2 linked regions of the Kluyveromyces lactis genome follow. The protein of the gene in region 1 interacts with the protein of each later gene in a pairwise test. Links are inferred from orthologs where the notes say so. Each region holds a gene or a part of one and is shown on either strand. Other genes may lie near its edges.

What was found.
Region 2: the proteins of BEM1 (region 1) and CDC42 interact in a two-hybrid assay, tested with the Schizosaccharomyces pombe proteins (3 studies listed by BioGRID). The link is inferred for Kluyveromyces lactis from reciprocal best matches to the Schizosaccharomyces pombe genes scd2 and cdc42.

Annotation. Positions count from the first base shown.
Region 1 is NC_006041.1:2,075,716-2,081,504, forward strand, and holds BEM1 (phosphatidylinositol-3-phosphate-binding protein BEM1), read right to left. Parts: upstream 3,273-5,789; coding exon 3,264-3,272; intron 3,046-3,263; coding exon 1,327-3,045; downstream 1-1,326. Other genes in the region: guanine nucleotide exchange factor MUK1, read right to left, coding at 1-47; KLLA0_E23343g (uncharacterized protein), read left to right, coding at 517-1,047; putative ubiquitin-specific protease UBP16, read right to left, coding at 3,690-5,789. UniProt on the Schizosaccharomyces pombe protein: Required for mating and morphogenesis. Interacts directly with scd1 and with cdc42. May bridge and facilitate scd1 and cdc42 interactions.
Region 2 is NC_006037.1:380,798-385,054, forward strand, and holds CDC42 (Rho family GTPase CDC42), read right to left. Parts: upstream 2,022-4,257; coding exon 1,446-2,021; downstream 1-1,445. Other genes in the region: chaperonin-containing T-complex alpha subunit TCP1, read right to left, coding at 1-374; GCD6 (translation initiation factor eIF2B catalytic subunit epsilon), read right to left, coding at 2,478-4,257. UniProt on the Schizosaccharomyces pombe protein: Involved in development of cell polarity during the cell division cycle.

The DNA of each region.
Region 1 (5,789 bases):
TGTTTAGTATCGAAAGAAGCATTAGAAAATGGGGGAGTATGGAACATAGCTCAATTGCCATACATGAGCAGGTCCAAAGATGATTCACAAGCTTGCAGTGATAGAAATCATAAACTTTTTCTTATAACGTTGTTGAAGTAAACCAAGTTGCTGTGAACTAAATGTTTCAGTATGAAAAAGACATTCGAAACCCTTAATTATGAAGAAGATCAAATACATATCTCTTAGAAGAAACAAAAGAAAAAAAGCATATTAAAGGCAATATTGAAGGCTCGATCAAGAGATATCTAACAAGAAAAAGATAACCAGTACCTGTAGTATCAGCTTCATCTACGAAACTTTCTTAACGGGTGAATTTACAAACATTTCTAATGATCTTCATTTTAAGCTTCCAGAAAGTTCTCGGTTGGCCATAAGATAAATTAGGACAAACGAAACAACACCTACAAAAGTAGCAGCGAACAGATCATCTGCTTAGAATAGTTCACTGCGAATGAGCAAGGTATTAGCTATACAATGTCATCAGGCTTCAAGATGAAGAGGTCAAGGAGTCCTGACCCGATAGGAATCGATAACTATAAGAAACAACGGCTAATATATGATTTCGAAAACCTATCGTTGGCTCCTAGGGGAACCGATGGGATAAAGAAACATAAAATTGATTCAGGGTTGAACTCATTCAAAGCAGTTGTAAATAAAAGGATGTGGGATGTAGTTGAACGCGAATTGAGTGGTTCAAACAAAAATGATAAGATATATGAAAGAATATTCGATCATGTACGACAGTTTAACTCGCAGGTAATAAAATGGTATGACTGGCGATCTGTGGTAGCAAGCTTGTGGGTAAAATGGTACCAACAGCATAGTCCAAAATTAGATGAAGTAGATATGAATGTTGAGACTGCAGCAGATTCCAGAGTTGATCTGGCACCGAATCTCATGCATAGAAATGATGAGTTTGATCACAATGCGGACATGGACATTGACATGGATCTCGATACAGATCCGTACGCGGATGCAGACATGGACATAGAGCTGGATGAATAGTCCTTAGACATGTTTGTGAAGTATTATTATCATTTTGATAGAAGTATTAACACCTATAGAGAGAGTATGTAAACAACTGATTTTTACTTGTTGAACTGAATTAATGTGAAAGAATATAAGAGTGTTAATGTCAAAATTATGTTGAAGTATTACAATGCGATGTACAGTACATCATTATGATAAGCATGAAAGCCATCAGTGGATAGAAATTGAATTTTGACCACCTTGGGGTTCTTTTTGTATTATTTATTATGACGATAAAATTTTGCAACAAATAACTTAGCTGTCATCGACAAAGATCTTGCGTTTCTCTTGAATTAGAACCGGTACTTCTGCATCAGTAGTGACTTGAGTGCCAATATCATCTCCGTTTTTGATGTACAACTTAAAAGAATCTGCGTCAATTCTAGGTGCTATTTTACTGCACAATTCTTCAAAAGTAATGGTAGGATGCAGCATCAAGGCGAATATGTCATCTTTGTAATAAAATTTGATCTTGACAGGCTTTTCATCAGTTATTCTCGGAGCGAAACCACTAGGCGGCCTTGATTTGACTTTAGCACTGGCATTGGAAGCGCTATTAATCAGAGACAGTCTCTTCATTGCCTCTGGAAGTTGTAGTTCTTGGTTAGTCAGAGTTGAATCATCAGCCCTACCTTTTACGTCAAGCTCCACAGTTTCATCATTACTAATCTCACGGTCAAAACCATTATTTTTAACGGCAAACAAACCCTTGACCAGATGTGATTGTGATATATGCGGCGGTAGGGAAATCAAATCCTTCACGTATATATTTAGGTCATCTTTTCTCTTTTTTGAAATGGTATCTGTCACATACGGAACTGGACCCGGTATATATGGCATTATACGTTTCGTCCACTGACCATTAGTGTCTCTTAGTTTACCCCCTTCTGCAGGGAAGATATCGAGTAGCTTTACTTGTAAATCATAGAAATCTTCATAATAACGCTTCAAAATACGCGTGGTGTTGTTGGATAACTGACACGAGACTTGGAACCAATACTTATCGTCCTGTAGGAAAAATGTCTCGACTGCAGCGTAGGTAAGGAAAACGGCATCAGCAGGATAGGTTGTATTGGCAGCGCTCGAGTGCTGCGTGCTGGGGTGTGGTTGACGGTTTTGTGAATTTTGCCTGGATTGTGATCGGTGTTGCACGTACGACTGACCCTGCTGTTCCACTGAACCTAGTGTGATATTGCTAGCCTTGTAACGGGCGATATTGATCTTCCATTCTTGGACCGAGGGTAGATTCACTGATTCGATATCGCTTTTTACATCATTTCCCGTGGCATAACCAGTAGCTATATCTATAATAGTCACAAAACCAACAGGAACTAGACCGGGACCACCCAACCTGCCAATGGGCTTAGCGATAAACCATTCAAAATCGTGATGAGCACAAATGAACAAGTTTTCTCCGGCATAGGCTGTTAACTCATCTGCCTTTTCTGCTTGAAAATCATACAGTACAATTGCATAAAGAGTTCCCATATTGGAAGGTTGTTGTTGCTGCTGTTGCTGCTGTTGCTGCTGATGATGCTGTAATAACTGATTACTACCGACAGATCCATTTCTATTTATACTTTTCACCGGTGATGCATGCGAATTTGGCCTTGTTCTGCCAAAAATCTCGAAATAATTCTTAGGAACCATGCCTCTCTTGCCGTCCGCCGGATTGGAGGCCTCATACCAATCGTTCTCCTCTTGCTGAACATGGAAAAAGTCTCCCTTATTGAATGATAATTCACCGGCTGATTGTGCCTGGTAATTGTATAACGCTTTGATTACTTTTTCTGGAGACGAGATATCTTTTGATTTTCCACTTGTAAACCCCGAAGATAGCTGTGATGATGTAGATAATTGCCTGATAGGAATGGTCTTTACGTTTTGCACTGAGCTCCCTGGACTTTGAGTAGGTCCGGAAATATCCGCAGAAGTTATGCGCTGTTTCACACTGTCTTTCTTCAATTTGAAATTCTATTCCAAAAATTTCCAGAAATTAGATAATTGGTTCAATTTAATCACCAACCAATGATCATAGTATATGTTAGTATTTTGCCTTCACGTTGCAATATTCATGTGGTTACCTTCTTTCAGTAAAGAAAAATTTTCCAGCCTCTAACAAAGTCAGAAATCCTCCGCTACTACGTCAAAATTGCCAAACATAAGACAATACCACGCGCATTATTACATACCTTCAACATTTTCCCACTATTGACTGCCTTTGCCTTTGTGTTGCAGCTTTCGTCTATCAACTCTGTTATTATGAATTCCTGAAACTCGTCTCTTTATTCATGTCAATCCTTTTTCATCTCGCTTCATCAACCCGCAGAAGGAAAGGAAGAATTTCATTCTAGAAGGGTTTTAGAGGTCACATGATCTGAAATTTAAAGATCGTACAGTATATGTATATAAGGTTAACGTAAAAGTGCTAAAACTAATTAATCGAGTAATACATGGCCTGTGGTCATCATAAATCGATGAGTTAATTGACAAAGGATGAATGATTCGGAGCGGTGAGGTGCCGCTTGTGCAATTTAGTAAAATATGTCTATGTTTCTATTTTTTCTTATTCTTTTGGTTGTTGTTATGTTGGTTCCAGTATTTGCTTACTGACCAGGTTAGACTACTGGTACCCTCTCATAGTACAACATATAAACGAATTTAGTTTCTGATAAAATATCTGAAGTTTTATATTCTTTAACTTTAGTATCAGATATTCTCCACCATGGGTATTTCACCACACTTTTCAATTTCTTTAATCTTCTTTTCTTTGTCTTCTTGTTGACATTCATTGAAATACCGTCATAATCTGTTTCAGTTTCCACTTCGGTAGCACTTGTATTAGTAACTTGATCTGTACTGTAAGAGTCGATACTAGCATTACTAGATAATATCGAAGCGTTGCGGTCAGTCGTCATAGAAGAGACACTGTTAAATCTTGCGCGGTTTCTATGTTCTGAAGATGATGAAGCCATGGGTGAACTGCTAATTTCAGGTAGTATATTGCTAGTATTGTTATTATCCGGTGCTGCCGAGACAGAACTCTTTCTCGAAAGGAAACCAGTGACTCTTTTCAAAGTGGATGGCGTCCTTGAAACTCCAGAACCACTGTTGTTGTTTTGGCCCTTATTATCTGCGTCGTTAGAGAACTCTGAGCTTCCAATAACGTAATCATCATCAGTAACAATCGCAGAGTTTGGTGAGTCCAGGAAAACAGATCTGAATGGCACGTTAGAGGAGATTGAATCTTCCGAGCCGATTGAACAAGAATCGGATTTGTTAGAGGAGTTCAGAACGGCCTGATTCCAGATTTCAGCTGCAAGTTTATTCGACGCAATACCGAAGTCCACCATTGGTGTCTTGCTAATGACTTGATGTGTATCAATGTCTTTCATAAACTCTGGTTTGTGTCTGAAACATTCATAGTGACCGGTAGAATGAGAACCTTGATGCCTCAACATCGACCTTAACTTATATGAATCCTTTCTGATGCCAACACATTTATTGTTTTCAATAACTTGGCGGTTGACTACCAATTCTTCTTCGAAAGAAACATTGCAGGTGTTCTTTTGATATCCCATCCCGTCGAAAACCGAACGCGACAAGTGAAGAATCAAAACATCTGGCGAATCAACAACCACAGTTTTCTTGACAATGGTGGATTTGATTTCTGACGTCTTGATACCACCTTTCTCGTAAGAGTTAATGTAAGTACTTAAGTTCCTAGCCAAATCATCGTTAATAAATGCTTTGGGCAATAACTCTTCCAACTCCTTCAAAATCTGGTTTTCTTCATCAGAATTGTTTTGGTAATTTCTATTCTTTTCATTTGCGATAATCGCGTTCAACTTACAACATAAACACGAATACCCGCTGATTTGATCTGTTTGATTATCAGAAATCATTTGAGCCAAATCCGCGTTTATTAGCTGTGGTACTGGTAAAGAATACATCGTGAACTCATGAATGTTTACTTTTGAAGATTCACCACAGCTTAAACAGAATAAACTATCAGCCAGCGATCCGTGTACCGGGAAAGTCGGTATGATGACATTCAACGAGTGATTCTTGACAAATTTTTGTAGAGCCAAGTTTTCGTTCTCCAACGTCTGCAAAACAACTTGTGTCAATTCATGAGCGTCATTTTGGCCGGTAGAAATCTTGGCCTTAAAAATACCCTCTATCACTCTTAAAAAGGGCCAAATAGAAATATGATGCTGTGCAGTTACCGTTTGCTGCAACTGGTACAGTATTTGAGCCAAGGACTCATGAAGAGGGATCTTAGGGATATCCTTTGAAGATGACTCTACTTCATCGGCCTCATCGGTACTCTCACCCTCACTATGGTCCTCTGACTGGTCAGTTGATACTTCTTCTTCCGATTCGTCTGATTCCTCTCCAGTCAAGGAGGATTCCTCCGACAAACCACCTTTTGGAGTCATGGCATCTTGAAACCGTAAAGTACAAACCGTATTAGTACTGGTATGTGCTTTCCACAAGTTAGGTCTCTTTGCAGTTGACAAGTCTTCCGTAACTTCTTCCTGCAATGGAACACCATTTGCACTATCTTCATCACTAGATTGTTTCTGCCCCCCAGAACTGGACCCATTCCCATTAATGTCCATCAATGTGGTTAAGAATTGAGCCTGCTTTAATATATCATTGAGGTACTTTGTCAAATATACAAGTGATGAAAGCGCTTGTATGGAAGAGTTGGC
Region 2 (4,257 bases), on another chromosome or scaffold:
ATAGTAGTTGGATGGATTTTGTTCTTGACCAAATCATTAGCTTTCTTCAATAGCTCAGAAGCAATGATGACAACACTGGTGGTACCATCACCAATTTCACGATCTTGCTGTTGTGCCAAATCAACCAAAATCTTACCAGCTGGGTGCTGAACATCCAAAAGCGCGAGAATGGTAGCACCATCGTTAGTAACGGTGAAGTCACCAATGTCATCGACTAACATCTTATCTAAACCAACAGGCCCCAAAGATGATTTAACGACATTTGCCACTGCTAAAGAGGCTAAAACGTTCTGGTTACGGATGTCATCGCCAGAAATTTTCTCACCACCTAGAAATAACGTATCGGAACGTGAATTCCCATATACCTGAGCCATCGTTCAGTGTTATTAACGGTCGTAGTGGATCTGATGATACTTTTCTCAAAGCGCTCACTTCAATTACACTTTTCAAAATCGCTTGTTGTTACAATATTAGTATTTTGTATTGAAGGTTTTTCACGAACTTAGAATTTCGGTTCTTGGAGGGTAGTGAATGAATAGAAGGAAACAAAAAAAAGTCACGTGAATAAGTGAAGATGTTGCATATTCATCACTGCATGGAAAGTCTTTACCGCTGGCGCTTCAAAGAGTTAGAATTGGGGGGTGTATTCATTGGAAGAGATTGTTATTATTATATATTTTGAGTTCGTATGCCATTAAAACCGAGATTTTTATTGTTTTGTTATAAGACAGTTCTATCTTACAGGTAACCCAGGTTAATGCGAAGTAACATCCATTTCATCATCCAAAATATTGCATGGAATCTAAATGTTATTTAAAATATGGTTGATGGTTTAAATATGATTTTATAAGACGTTCCGAAGTTCTGTATTTTTGGATGTGTAAAGTACTTTGCAAGACCAAATAGTATAATTAAAGCAATATGTTAAATGGAAAATGTTTTTATATTTATATAAACTATTGAGCTAAAAGTCAATTAGAAGCCTGAGAGGTTAAATATATCATGAGATAATGAAATCCACACACGAAGAGTAATTTCGTTGAGGTTTTATACTTAAACAAAGCGATACTCCATAGTGTTTAGTTTTTCGCTTCGAACCAGTTTCGTATTTTAGACGGTTTAGAATTCAAACAAAGAACCAAACGTTTGGTACTTCAGTTTGTCTATAGAAATGTCAAAGAGTTATGAAGTAGTTTTGGTAGTTTTAGGATGTTGGTTTAGTGAAATGTAACGCTTTTTCTGGAGATGGGGGGTAGAGCTTTTTTTCTCTTTTGAACCTGCAAAAACTTGGAAACACACTCTCTATCTCACAATCATCTATAAATATAAAACTGGACTTGATGGTGAACGGGAAGATTGTTAAGAACGCTCATCCTTGAGTGAGAAACTTCTTACCTGATACATGTACTGGTAATAAAAAAAAAAAATACAAGGCCGATCACTTTTCACAATATAATACATTTTTTACTCTTTTTAATGACTGGAGGTTCCAGAGCAGCAACAATAGCTTCGTCGAAAACGTTTTTCAAACCACGCTGGGTAAGAGCCGAACATTCAACATATTTTACGGCTCTAAGCTCTCTGGCTAACCTTTCACCTTGCTCTGGAGTGATAGGACGAAGCCTTTGTCTCTGTAGTTTTTCAATAATCACTTTATCATCTCTTAAATCTATCTGAGTACCCACAATCAAACATGGAACACCAGGACAATGATGATGTACTTCTGGGAACCATTTTTCTTTTACGTTCTCAAAAGAAGGAGGAGATATAACACTGAAACAAACCAAGAACACGTCTGTTGATGGGTATGATAACGGTCTTAATCTATCATAATCTTCTTGACCAGCTGTATCGAAAAGACCTAGCGTGTATGGCTCATCGCCAATCATCACCGTAACAGCATAATTGTCGAAAACGGTTGGAACGTAGTCGGCTGGAAACTGGTTAGTTGTGTATGAAATTAGAAGACACGTCTTACCGACAGCACCATCACCTATAACAACACACTTAAGAGTTTGCATGTTTTAAATTCCTTTCTTCCTTGCTTTTATACTACTATCACTGCAGGCCTTTACGGTGTTACTTCCGGCTGACTGTGCTATGTCTAACATCCAATTTGTCTGACTACTCTCCTTCATCACATACATATCTTCGTCCTCCTGTTCTGTTATTTCAATTTTGAAATGGGAATATGTTAATAGATAAGGAAGTTAGGGTAACGTTGTAACGTGACTTGAATTATTTTCAGTCAAACTCTCCCATATAGAATACAGGAAGACCGCATAGGCGGTTGGCAGTCCGGTAGTGAGGACACTAGCCTTGAAATGCGTACGTATATTTGTCTATAGATTACTTTGCATATGGTTATCTCACGTTTACTCGAAATGCTACATGCTACATTATATTGATTGATATTGACCAATCTTGAACTTCGGAGGAACCATGAAAATTCAAAGGGCATTTATGACGTTATTGACTTATTCGTCTTCGTCACTGTCTTCTTCATCAGATGATTCTTCATCTGCAGTCTTTAGCCAGTCCACCCATTTGGCCAGTAGAGCAGTAACTTCGCTGTATTTTGAATCACCGCTTACAGAGTCCCACCATTTGTAAATGACATCTTCCTCTAAGATATCCAAATCATACAAGACATTATATACATGGAATAGAATGAAATCTGGTTTATCGAATTTCTGATCTAGCACACGATCCAGAATGATATTCATTAGATCAATGAACTCATCACTATCAAATGCTTGTCTCTTAAACACAGGACCCCATTGTTGTAAGACTTTAGTGACAGCGTCCTTTGGACCTAGTGTTTGTGTGGCTACAAAGTGGTAAACTCTTCTGAATATAGCGATAACAGAAGCATTCCTGACTTCATGATAAGTGACGTTCATACTCATTCTCAAAGTGTTTAGTTCAAGCATTGATGTGTCTAAATCGTGGTTGTTCTCTATAGCTCTTTCAACTGTTGCGATGGCTTCTTTTTCGAAATCTTCTTCTTCGTCTTCTTCTCCTTCGTAATCAGTATAGATACTAGTCATCGACATGGTTCTCCTCTTTCTATGTTTTTGAGTGATGGATGATATGGAAGTATCCGATAAATAAATGTCATCGTCTCTGTACGTTAATGTGTTCGCAATACCCTTTTCGGTCGATCCATCTTCATCTTCATCCTCATCATCACTTTCGTATAGTACGCCTCTCCCGTTTGGCCCAACCAACTGCTTAGATAGTTTAATCTTCGCATCGGCAACTTCATCGGAATTACTGATTGATAAAGAAGATGAATTTCTGGTGAATGTGCTTCCTTCTTCGTCCTCATCGCTGGAAGAAAGATTATGTGCTGTATCTAAGAATTGAGCTGTGTTCCTCTGTACTGGAACCGCTGAAATCTTGGTTCCAACTGGGATTGTAACATTATCGTCAATCACTACATTGAATCCGATAATGGAACCATCATTCAAGGTGACGTTTGATCCTAATTTAACATCTGAAGCAACTAAAGAGTGCTCAATTGTAGTGTTATCATCAATGACAACATTGTCCCAAATGTAACTGTTTTTGATTCTGATGTTTGAGCCAATTTTACAATTTCTACCAACAACACTATTTTCAATGACTGTACCTTCTCCAATCTTGGATCCTGAGCCGATGGCCGTGTTTTTCTTTATCTTACAGGACTGCGCTAATACCACGTCTTTTTCCTTATAAATGTGTTGGCTTTCGTATGAATAAGTTTGGCCCTTTAAAAGGTTGGCATTAAGAACCAATGGGTAACACCATCTAGCAATAAAATCTTGCGAGATAGCATCATACGTTTGCCAACTTTCTGCTCTAGTGGTGTATTCGTCGGTAATGTACCCGTAGATATGTTTCTTCAACAAATCACTAGAAAGCACACCTCTAACAAAATCTCTTCTCAAGAATTGGTAATCGAAATTCTCTTGGAAAATAGCAGGGACATGAGGAGAACAGATATCTACATGGCAATCAATCAAATCGTTGCGTAACACAAACTCGTCAACACCTTCCAGAAGTTCAGGATCAATATCAATGGTAGTTTTTTCTCTAGAGCTAGCCAATGGGATATCCTGGTAGTAAATACATCTATCATTAGACTTATCAAAAATGAACGTTGCTGGTTCATGAGACCTTGTCTTATGAAACTGAGTCGCTTTACTTAGGCACATAGTGACAATATGATCCTTATCAGCCTTTCTCCTTTGTTTATGAATATCTAAAGCCTTT